2 linked regions of the Schizosaccharomyces pombe genome follow. The protein of the gene in region 1 interacts with the protein of each later gene in a pairwise test. Each region holds a gene or a part of one and is shown in the gene's direction. Other genes may lie near its edges.

Region 1 (5,797 bases):
TAATAGATGATAGCGATATATGATATTGAGCGTTGTCGAAAAACGAATAGTTACCTGAGTTTTAAACAAATATAAACAGACTTATTCTTTTAAGAAGAGATAAATTGACTACTGTTATTTTCTGAATGCTGCCTAAAACATATATTGGAATAACTTACTAAATACTCTTCAAATTAAGGAAAAGCATAAGCTACAATTTCTACCCCTACAAGTAACGATTTTCCTTTTTTTTTACTTCCTCAAAACGGTCTTCTCGAACAGTATGTTCTCAAAAGTTTTCCGACTTTTTATCTCATAAAAAAGAAATTCAATGTTTCTCATGCATGACCTTTAAATTTCTCTTTGAAAAATCATGTGAAGCTTACTTAAAGAGATGTTTCAAATTTCTCTTTATGAAACGAGTATTTATCGGATTTATTGGATATCCACTTATGAAACACTACAGCAGAGCAAAACTTTCAAATAATTGTTTTATTATTTTAAAAGCTATTCCAGAAAAATTTGTTTAATTTAAGGCGTAAATTTCGCGCTAATTTTCCTAGAAATGACTGAAAGGTCGATTTTGTTTACGTCTTTTTGCATCATCCTTTCAAAGCTAAGAAGTTATCGCAAACTATTTCTCCATTATATTGGATTTATTTTATTTTGGAACATACAAACATGAAATTGAATGTGAAGAAATATGTATGTAGCTTCGTCTTTTAAGGGAATTTAATAAAAAGGATAATCAACTTAATTTTTTGCGACAAAACTAATTATGAAGCACATTCTTTTGAATCAATTTATCCAAAAAAGTAATAAATTCAACAGTGACAAGATGTAAGCATTATACGGAATACAACGACTCGAAATACATGGAATTGTATAACTTAATCACTCATTTAAACTTTTACAGAAATCTTCGGCTGAAATATACGGGGTAAAATAGGGCTTTTAATTGTAAAGCTTAGAGCCTGAATAAGTATGCTTTCCTTTATTTTAACATTCCTCAATTTGTTTTCAAGTACTTCACATACCTAGGAAGAATGCTAAATAAGGTACAGTGGGAAAACAACGTTGGTTGATTGTTAGTTTGACTTGCTAAGCTCGTAACTTTGAGGATATGGGCTACAATTTACGTAGAAAGGTAATTTATTAAGCCTAAGGATGGTTGCTTGCTCATTAAAATTGTCCCAATCCTACATATACGCTTTAAACTATATGAACCTCATCTTTTGTCGAAAAAGAAAGTACAAATCCTTCCTCATAAGAAATGTTCGGCAATCTCTTCTTTTTCAACTTTCAGCCTAAAATCGATATGACTACAGAATTTGAAATAGGGAATTGCATTTCTTACTAGTACTATTTAAATGTGTAAAGCTTTCTGGATTACCATCAGACCCTCATTTAAAAATGATATTTATATTATATGCTGATTCTTTAGGAAACAGCAAATGGACGACTTTCTGAATGTGATTTTTTTAACCATCATGTAAATCTAAAGTAGACTGTTGCTAATAACAGTTTCGTACGAAGAACAGAACTTTTTTAAAAATCTAATCTAAATTTGTCATAAATCTTTCGGAAAACCTTTTGAAGCATAAAAATCCCAGTTGAGTTAATGTAGTAACAATCATGTGTATGTACTCATACCTAACCATCACATTCCAGTAATCCACCTAACATCTTAACAACTCTCCAGCACACATACACACACATCATTATTTCAAGTCATTTCACACTTAAATTCACTTACAAACATCTAGAATAATTTTTGATTGAATCGTATTTTATTCATCTGAAAACCGACTGAGATTTAGTATTGTTTCCTTCGTATTGCATTTTTTACATTCGTCTTCTTTGGAAGTGGCGTACTAAGCCTTTTATTTGATTCCATCATACTTGTGAAGTATCCTTAAGCATCCCATGTCTGATTCTGTGAATTTGGACGAACCTTCAACTAATAGTACTCACTTTCTACAATGTTTAGTTACAGAACCTAGAAAGGAGCTACAGGGATCTCGAGACACTCATGTATCTTATCTAATCATCACTAAGGTAAGTCTTATTTTTGAAAAGTAACTGATGAATTATTTTTTGGAAATGTGCTTACTCTATGTTACTAGACCAATCTTTCGATTTTCACACGTGCGGAATGCAAGGTTCGTCGTCGTTTTTCTGATTTTGTGAAGCTTCAAGAAATATTATCACGAATGAATGAGGATTGTGTAGTCCCTCCTCTTCCCGCTAAACATAAACTTGGTATGCGTGCAATTAAATAGAAACTCGTTAGTGCAGTGATTCCGATGTCTTTGACTTTTCAATGATTCGTCACTAACACTTTTTGTAGAATACATCAAAGGAGGTCGGTTTTCAGATAATTTCATAAATCGAAGAGCCAAGCTGTTGAATCGTTATATTACACGTTGTGCTCTTCATCCTGTGCTGCACCAATCGCCTCATTTCATTGCATTTTTAGAAAATCCAAATTGGAATAATTATGTTCGATTCTTTATTCAGCCGAAATTGAATAACACATCGAAGTTGGACGAAATCTCGGATTCCTTGCTAAATGCGTTTTCCAAGCTGAAGGAAGAACCCACTGAGTTTGATATCCAACGCGACCATGTGCAACAGTTTATGTTTGGAATATCTAATTTGGAAGGATCCATTCAAAAGCTTTTACGTTTAGAGAAGGCTCTAGAATCTGATTATGAGGATGTTTCGATTCAGTTTGATCGATTGGCATCCTTGGATCAAGCTTTAGATGTGCCTATTGAATCCATTCAGAATGCATTGCAACAAACTGGCACAGAGTATGCTAATCTTACAGAAAAATTAACTTTATTGTTGGATACAATTAAAGACGTTGAATCTTACGCTCATTCCTTGAAAGAACTCTTGAAGCGCCGCGATCAAAAACAGCAGGATGTCGAGGCACTTCAAGAGTATTCTGCAAAGCTTTCTTTAGAGCGCGACAAAATATCTTCTGGCGGCTCTAATGGTTTCAGTTTATCCAAAACTCTGGACGACTTGCGTGGTATCGATCACAACGATACTAGATTAAAGCGCTTAGAACATGTACAATCGGAATTGCAGGCAGTTGAGCAAGCTATTCAAGAAGCATCTGCCGTTCATGACGCTTTCAACCAAAGGGTTCGAGAAGAATCTAAGCTTTTTGATTCCGTTCGTCAAAGCGAGATGCTTAGTGCTATTTCCGATTACGCTAATGTTCATGTAGAGTTTTTTACAAATATTCGCGACCTTTGGATACGTGTTAAGCAATAGGTTACTTTACTCAAGCCCCACAGCATATGTTGTTTTGATCATGTCTCGATTAATGAATCATTGACCTGCTTTTCTTTTTTAATTTCTAAATATTTATTAATGATAATGATTGTGCATGACTTCGCTGATTACTTTTTTTATCATCAACAATTTCATAATCGGGAAACTTTTTTTGTCTGTATTTGTTTGTAAGTTTATTATGATTATTATTAGAAAAGAAATAAAATAAAAAATGAATTGAATAAATTAGAGAAAAAACAAACAGTGGGGTATAAGAATCGTAAAAATGAAAAAACCGGTATTGCAAATAGTAAAAAATTAGAAACATATTAATGGTAATTCTTGCACGATAATAGCACTCAAACATCTTAATACCATCTACTATTGAATGAGGATCCGTACTTTTTCTTAACCTTCTTAAGTTCCTCCCTTATTTTCTTGCTATCAAAAAAAGCATTTGATTTTTTAGGAGACAAACTGCGGCCTTTTTGCATTAATGACTTTTCAATCAACTCCTTTTGCTTATTTTGACATTCTTCTGCTTCTATTTCATACAACAATTGAGATTGTCGTTCTCTCAAGGGTTCGGGAATAGGTTCTGAAACCAAATCCACTTCTTCATCGAGAACTTCAAATCCAACAGCAGCTAATAAAATTGGCATTGATTCTCTATAAGCCAAATGTCCCGAGACAAGATTAGTAACATCGATGTTTTCTATCCCCGGAATACAATCTATTTGACGCAAACCCGCAACTCGCCCAATGCCACCAGAAGTGGCTCGAAAAAGATAGCCAAGGATCCAATCATTCTTTTTGTAACCATTGACAAACCTTCCAGAAACGACAGATGCAGCTTTAAGCCAAGAAGTACGTTTAAAAATAACAGGGGTGCCGAACAAATATACATTTTCAATGATGCTAAACTCTTTTTTTTTCTCTAATTCTCGCAAACAATAGTAAATAACACGAGCCCCCAAAGAATAACCAACTAAGGTGACTGGGCGGACGCCAAGGGACCGATAACATAGCATATCGGCTAAAAGCTGACCGGTAGCCTTAGCACGGTCTAAAGAATTATTCCACGGATTGTCAATTAGATATCCTAGCTTCGTTAATATCAAGGGCCACTGTAAGGCACCCATTAGAGAAACTAAGACGGTGGATCCCAATACCTGTTGAAGAGACTGTGTAACCACTTCTGTTGCCAAAATGTTCATAGTCTGACCAGCAGAAGCAAGCATTTCGGGCTCCCAAAAAACAGAATAAATATCACCCACGATAGGATCAAGTGTAGCAAAAGAAAGACGGACATCATCTTCTTTACTTAACATCCAACCGGAAACGGTGACGATGACATTGGCTCGTCTCTGTGCATGTAGCGGTCTAAATTCAAAAGTTTTAACATCGGCTTTTCGATGAGCCATGCCAGTTGTACCAATATGAGCTCCTGAAATTGCACCGCCAGCAGTAATTAAAGCAGCACTACCACCCCCGGCTAAAAAACCAGACGTAGCAACTCCAGATAAGCCAACAGTGGTGAAAGCAGCTCCAATGCCTGCACTAATAATAGGAGCCAGTAATCCAGAAGAGAGACCGATCACTAGGCCGCCTCCGATACCTGCTAGGCCCATTAGTATATACTTTTTACGCCTTGATACTTTACGCCGCAATTTCATGACCGCTTCAGTGTTTGCACTTGAGCCGGCTTCTAATTCGCCGGTATCGTCAATCTGAATTGTTTCAACAATATGTTTTTCAAACTTTGCAACATCAAACTCATTAATGTCAAGAACCTCGCCAACAGCCATAAGTAGAGAACGTGACCGACAATCGTAAAGCGATTTAGAAATGAGGACCAGAAAAAGATCACACAACACAGTCCAACGAACATCAATTTGTACCGGTTTCTCTTTCCCTAGGCTACTTAGACTATCGCTGGACTCAACTTCGTCAACAAGCACTGCATCAAGGCTACTGACTGTTTGAGCTCTATGGGCAGAAACTAAAATCTTGGACAAGTCATCTATTTGGACTGAATGTTTGTGAAGATTTTCTATCATCTTCTGTTCCTCTACTGTGACGCCGAGATGTTCATATATGCATGAAGTGGTTTTGTCAGCCCACATAATGGTGTCTTCTAATGCGGCCTTACATTCACCTCGATACCATGGCAAAGTTGTAAAACATGCAATTTTATCAACCATTTTTAAAATTAAAAGCCGACATACGCCAGCGTATGCCATTTTCTCGGTTTCAGAGAGTATGTTGCCAGTGATTTCCAATTGACTATCCATGCTAATTTCTTCGTTGCCATGATCAGCAATGTCTAATAATTTAATGGCTTCACTGTCTAACTGATGCTTTTGATCGTCGTCTTCATCACGAAAAACTCGGGTGTAGCGAGGTTCAAGCTCACTCTCTTCAACTTTTTCAGTTTCTTTCTTTTCTTCTATTATTTCATTATCATCATCGATATCATTGATTAAATGGGTTGGTTCCAACGATATAACTTCCATTGGTTGCCAATTGC
Region 2 (6,630 bases), 850 kb from region 1:
TGATTCAAATGGTTTAATTCGCTCACGTTTTCAAACATTCGAAACTTTTCGAAAACCTTTAGCTGATAAAAGAAGAATAGAGTTTTTAAGATTAAGCAAACGTATGAAAAAACTTGAAGAGCTATGGACATCGGAAAATGTCTCGATGCTTGATGCGCTTCTTTTGAACAAGGCTAAAAGGCTGGAGCAAAGCATCGTTCATTGGCAAGATGATTCCGTTGTACAAATTTGTCCTGAATGCAACAATTCTTTTACTCTAACTAGAAGACGCCGGCATTGTCGGCTTTGCGGACGCGTGATCTGCAGATTCTGTGTATTAGAGATTAGTCTTCCTCAACACCCGCAACCTCTCCTCATCTGTATGAGTTGCAATCAAAATTATTTCCGTAACGTTCTTTATCAAACGGAAAGATCGAAATCACTTGGCTACATCCGACATATTGAACACTTGCAAGTTTTTAGACAGGCTATGGTAAATTACTATCGACTTTACGAGGATTCTTTGTCTGAATTACTAAGTGGTGAAATAATCACTGAAGCGACCCTGAAAATAGTAAAAGATAGACGAAAAAAATTTCTTGAGCTATGTGTGAAATATGATGGAACTATGAAAAAAATCGCCAATCATCCCTCATCCAATGATGCTGAAGAACAATTTAAGCAGAATGTTGTTAATGAAGCAAAAAGATATTTACAAGAAACCATATTGCGTTTGCAGGCCATTCCTTACCATTTGCAGGTTGGCCAAGCTTGGACTTCTGAGTCTGAACGTGAGCTAGAAAAGAAGAAAGAGCAAGTTGAAAAGAAGCAAGAAGAGTTGATGCAAACAAGAATAGTTTTAGAGGAGCAAGTTTTCCTCGTTGAAAATATGATTGAAGATGCTAAAGCGAAACGAAAGTTTTCTGAGGTAGAGACTTTACTCTCCAGTCTTGCACCTTTGCATGAGGAAATTCATTCAATCACTGAAAAGATTCATGACTTGGATCTTTTTGATATTTGAGGATTTTTTCAATAAAGGAAATTTGACTTGTTTAATGATGCTGTTTCACTTTTATGTAATCAAAATTTCCTAGTTAATGTGTTGCGAAGGTTAGTCATATGATGGATGAGTGAATAATTGTATAGATAAATATTTATTGATGAAATGAATTTGAAGACTTTGCTTTCCTCGTCGAACAGCAATGAATGTTATCAATTAAGTTGAATAGGAAGAGCATCTTTTTTAGAGTTAACTTCTGAAGATTAGTATTCCTTAATCAGTGCTTTACTCTCCCTAATAATCAAATATTTTTTTCAAGTGTTATAGTATAATTAAGTTATGAATATGGGGCACAGGCACAAAAATTTAAGACTGAATTAACTTTTTGAACTATCCAACTTTACAAATTTACTTAAAGAATGAATCAATATTCGACAGCATGATAATAACAATGATTAAACTAAATGTAAAATTTATAATATAGATTTTCCCAAATCTATAATACTGAATTTTGATTTTGGCTTTACCTCGTGACCTAAATATCGTTACCTTAAAGACGTGTACAGACTTCATCTACTCCAGAACCACATTATTTTAGATTTTTCCAAACAAGGATTTTGCCTATGGATTCTTCTAATGTACCAGTTTTGAAGGATGAAGACAAGTGCAAGTTTTCGATGCGCTTTACAAACTTCCTCAAGTCTCGCCCTGAGCTGAAAACAAAGCCAGCGATCCTCAATGGAAAACGTGTATACTACTTTCGTGTGAAGCGTGTTCTTCGCTTTTTAACATCCGAAGCGTATACGCCTAAGAAATACAAAGGGTTTCCAGAAATTTCAAGCCGTGAGGAAGCAATCGAAGTTCTCAAATTGCTCATTATGAATTCGATGCTGGTTCGCGTTGATAAACTCCCCCCTAAACAAAGAAAGCAGAAGCTTGTAGAATTACAGATAAATCGTAATCAAGATTTTCAAGACGATATGCATTATGTTTGGCTCTACGAGCCTCTTCCAAAACGCGTTATGGCTTTGGCAGTACTGTTCGCTCTTGTCGTATTGGCACTCGTTTTGTTCCCCTTGTGGCCAATGTTTATGCGCAAGGGTGCTTGGTATTTAAGTATGGGAGGCCTTGGAGTAATCGGTCTATTCTTTGTTTTGGTTATTTTACGTTTTTTCTTATTTTGCATTACTGCTGTCATCGTGCGCCCTGGCATTTGGCTATTCCCCAATCTTCTTGCCGACGTTGGCTTCTGTGATAGCTTTAAACCTTTATGGAGTTGGCACAATTCCAAATCTGAGGTAAAGAAGACAAGGAAATCCAAGAAATTGTCAAAAAAAGCCACTTCACCAGCTGCTTCTGCAACTCCTGAAAAGTCTTCTACGTCCACCACTTCTTTAAAGAATTTAAGGCACAGAAATCCTACCGTCGAAGAAGTCTCTGAATAAAAATTAATTGTTGTACCGTTGATGAATCCAGTCACTCAGCCACTATTACTTACTTTAAAAAAAAATAGTGCATATCTTTACGTTATCAATTCTCCTTATACAATTTATTTCGTCTATGTTTTCGGAGAAAGGTTCTTTGAGATTCTAAATGTGTTTTCCAAGAAACCTTGGCGTTCTCATTTTATGCCCAAACGTATACATATATAATCAGTATATACTAAATGAGGACACTAAATTCTTTTGTGTTTCTTATTGTTACGCATTTTAATTACGGCAAGTTTGTCAGTCAATGAATATTTACTCTTATTGACACACAATTCTTGCTTAACCCATTTATATGAAGCGTTTTAATTTATGTACCACTCCTGGTAGGTGGTTTGATAATTCCCTTATTCTTTTAATCTCAATTTATAACACATTTGAGCGAAATTACTAGATTCTTAGCTTGCTTTTCTCCTTTTAAAGCTAGTATAGCATTTCCTCATGACACAAGGAGTGCATTCTTACTATAGTTGGCTGATCACATAGGAGTGATTATAATTACAAGTTCACTAATATTCATGGTATAAATTGTCATCATATCATATGATATTTAACTTCATATCAATAAATTTTACTTTCCATATTGAATATTTTCTCAATTCTTTAGTGTATAGTGCGTTTGCTGTATATTTCGTTAACCAGACATCGTCATTCTAAGTCAACTCCCACTACCTACTAATTGCAGGGCATTTTAAAAAAACTTGAATTTTCAAGGTATCCCTCAATCATATAGGGTAATACATATTATTTTTCGTTGATTAAGTGCATTTTATTGACGTGAAGCTTTTAAAGCCCTTGGCGTTGAGGATTTTGTAAATATTATACTAGACTCTAACACCACAATGTCCAACGTTACTGAAAATAAACATGACTTACACGAAAACGGGGTACCAGATTCTGCTCAGCCAATGGAATTGGATGTTTCTAAAAAGGAGGACACTGAACCAGAAGTCAGAGACGAGGCCAAAGAATTTTTGTTGAGCCAGTTACCACAAGTAGAAGTCCCTGAGTGGGCGCAATGGTTTGATTTCTCTAAAGTTCACGAAATTGAGAAAAAACAAAACCCTGAGTTCTTTGATGGAAAAAATACGTCGAAAACACCAGAGGTATATAAGGAATACCGAGATTTTATGATTAGTACTTTTCGATTGAACTCCAAAGTTTATTTGACTTTCACGGCTTGCCGAAGGAATTTGGCTGGTGATGTATGTGCTGTCTTGCGTGTCCATAGATTTCTAGAGCAATGGGGATTAATCAACTATAACGTTAACCCCGATACTCGGCCTTCGAAAATAGGTCCCCCTTCCACAAGTCATTTCCAAATCCTTGCTGATACTCCTCGTGGATTGGTACCACTTCTTCCACCTCCCTCTTCTTCAATTCCTCGTTCCAAAGCTGTTACCATTGAAGATCCTTCGATTGTCCGAACAAATATTTATGATCCCTCTCTCGACGATGTCTTAAAAGGTAAGGGTTCAACTCCGAATCAAAAACCAAGCCTTTCGAACCTTCATGAAAACAACATTGATCAGTCAGATTCTCCACAGCATTGTTACTGTTGCGGTAATAAATTTAATGAAAGTTACTACCAATCTCAAACGGCCCAAAAATATAACGTTTGTATAAGTTGCTACCAACAAAATCGGTTTCCTTCACCGACCACAATTGCTGATTATAAGGAGGTCGCAATACAAAATAAAATTGAAGATGATGATACATGGACTGCACAAGAACTTGTTCTTTTGTCAGAGGGAGTGGAAATGTATAGTGACGACTGGGCAAAGGTTGCTTCTCATGTGAACACAAAAAGTGTTGAAGAGTGTATTTTGAAATTCCTTAATCTTCCTTCTTCCGACAAAGCTTTATTTAAAATGGACAAAGTGCATACCAATCCTGTGGTTGATTCTTTGCAGGGGAAGAACCCTATTTTATCCGTAGTCTCTTTCTTAGCCAAAATGGTACCACCTTCTTCTTTCACACAGAAAAGCAGCGCAAAAGAGGAGGAGTCGGATAAAGTTAAAGGTGAATCGGTTTATCCCAAACCAGAGTCAGAAAGTTATGATGTCGAGATGAATGGTAAATCATTGGAGGACTCTGATAGTCTATCAGAGTTATATCTAACTAATGAAGAAAAGAAAATGGCTTCTATTATAAAGGATTCTGTTAACGTGCAAATTAAGCTAATTGAATCCAAGTTATCTCATTTTGATTATCTTGATCAGCACATTCGTCTTAAATCCCAAGAATTAGATGCCTTTGCACAGGCAACTTATAGGGAAAAATTGTATATGAAACGAGAGTGTCAAAATGCCCGCAAAAAAATAGAGCAACAACTACAATCGAAGGATACTGCCGCAAATGGTCTACCAGTTCAAAGCTCCGCTGAAACTTCTGTTATCCCAGCTTCTTCTATGAGTCCTTCTTAATAATCTCAACTAATATGCTTATCGGATAAAAATTTATTAGGCTTTTATTTAAATGAATTTTTTTTTTATCTTATCTTAATGTCTTTGACATATCTAGTTTACTCAACTTTTGCGGCCCAAGTTCGGGCTATTCAGCTTGATCTCTTAACATTCGGCTGATTGATAGATTGACTAGAGAGCTATAGCATTCTAAGGGCAACAATTTTAACGTACTAGTATATACCAGTTGTTATCAAATTTTGAAAGTAAGGTCAGCTCAAACGTTGTGTAAATCCTTTGTGTCGTATGTTAAATTATGCAACAAATGAAAGAACTGAGAGAAAAGAAAGAAGGGACTAACTAATGGTTTATGTGAAACTCTATGAAAGTAAATGAAAAGAAATAAAGAATGAAGACAAAATGCCGCTTAATATGGATTTCGCAATCCTTACATTAAAATGAAGTTTTTCAACATCCGTCCATGAGTGAGTTTTTGGGGCGAACATATCCTGCTTCTGACCAACTGGTTGCATTATAATTTAGGTAGGCTTTAGGATGGTTCGCAATATATTCAGTAGTAGGGAAACCTTCAGGATCACAACCAAGCACGCTACTGGAATCAGAAGAGTCTTGATAAATTCTGACATAATCCACATACATTGTTTGAGGAAACGTTAATTCGTACCAATAAAAATAAATCCAAGTAGGAGAAATACCAAAGTTAAGGACGACGATCATGGGTTCTTCACTAACAGGTCGAGAAGCTATGTTTCCGTTTTGGCCCACAGCTGGTTGACGCATTGTCCATGTATACTCATCACCAACAAACCAAGAAATAAGCGCATCCGGACCACTTCCAGGTTTATAATCAAAACCATACTTTTGATAAGCATTACCGCTAAGCCAAGAATTATTTAATTGACTAGCACAAGACAAAGCCTGCTGATAAACACCACCGGCCCAACCGTTCATTGCTGAAACACTTTGATTGTAGATGGTAACGAAATCGTAATTGGGATACATATAGAGGTCGAAAGGAGCATATTGTGCTGATTGAGAAACGACAGGCATGGTTTCCAAGTAAATAGATCCATTGTAAGGAATACCACTGCCGAATGTACCTTCCAAGGCATCAATTTCAGGTCCTCCACGACCTGTACCAACATTGGGATGATCTTCACCCTTACAAACACATTGGTTTAAGCGTTGTCCACCCAAATATGAAATGCCACTAGGATCCGACTGATTAGGAGTAATTCCGGCATCACATGAATTATAAGAATAAGGCCAGACGCCATCAGATGTTGCAAGGTATCCTGGACGAACCAAATTACCTATAGTCCAAATACCTGGCCAAAAACCAGGAATATAAGGGGAGCCTCCTAAGGATGCAGATACCTCGATTCTACCACCCTTAAAGCATAATTTATTCCAGGTGGTAACCATGCCGCTACGGAAATTAAGATCATGATTGTAAAACGCATCCATACGAAGACGAAGTGTTCCGTTTGCCGTAGTGGGCGTATCAGCGTCGTAGTATTCATAATCGGTAGTTGCAGCGTAATGAAGGTCAGTTGCTAACCAAAATTGGTCATCGCCGTCATAAAATGCACGACCAGGGTAATTAAATTCATCAGAAAAAACAAGATCCAGAGTACCTAAATCCTGAGAATCAAACGTATAAGCACTTTCGGGGGTATCAGGATCTATCAAGCTTCCATAACGTAATAAACGTAAAATCCGAAATTGATGATTTGTA

The links.
Region 2: the proteins of atg24 (region 1) and ssr1 interact in a two-hybrid assay, tested with the Schizosaccharomyces pombe proteins (one large-scale study listed by BioGRID).

What each region holds. Positions count from the first base shown.
Region 1 is NC_003424.3:2,752,863-2,758,659, forward strand, and holds atg24 (autophagy associated protein Atg24), read left to right. Parts: upstream 1-1,660; 5' UTR 1,661-1,905; coding exon 1,906-2,037; exon of another isoform or gene 2,038-2,105; coding exon 2,106-2,241; exon of another isoform or gene 2,242-2,329; coding exon 2,330-3,267; 3' UTR 3,268-3,518; downstream 3,519-5,797. Other genes in the region: SPOM_SPAC6F6.13C (uncharacterized protein), read right to left, coding at 3,636-5,797. UniProt on the Schizosaccharomyces pombe protein: Sorting nexin, involved in the separation or division of vacuoles throughout the entire life cycle of the cells.
Region 2 is NC_003424.3:3,602,490-3,609,119, forward strand, and holds ssr1 (SWI/SNF and RSC complex subunit Ssr1), read left to right. Parts: upstream 1-3,292; 5' UTR 3,293-3,308; coding exon 3,309-4,892; 3' UTR 4,893-4,965; downstream 4,966-6,630. Other genes in the region: FYVE tethering component Pep7, read left to right, coding at 1-1,000; translocation subcomplex subunit Sec62, read left to right, coding at 1,603-2,424; ghs2 (glucosidase), read right to left, coding at 5,340-6,630.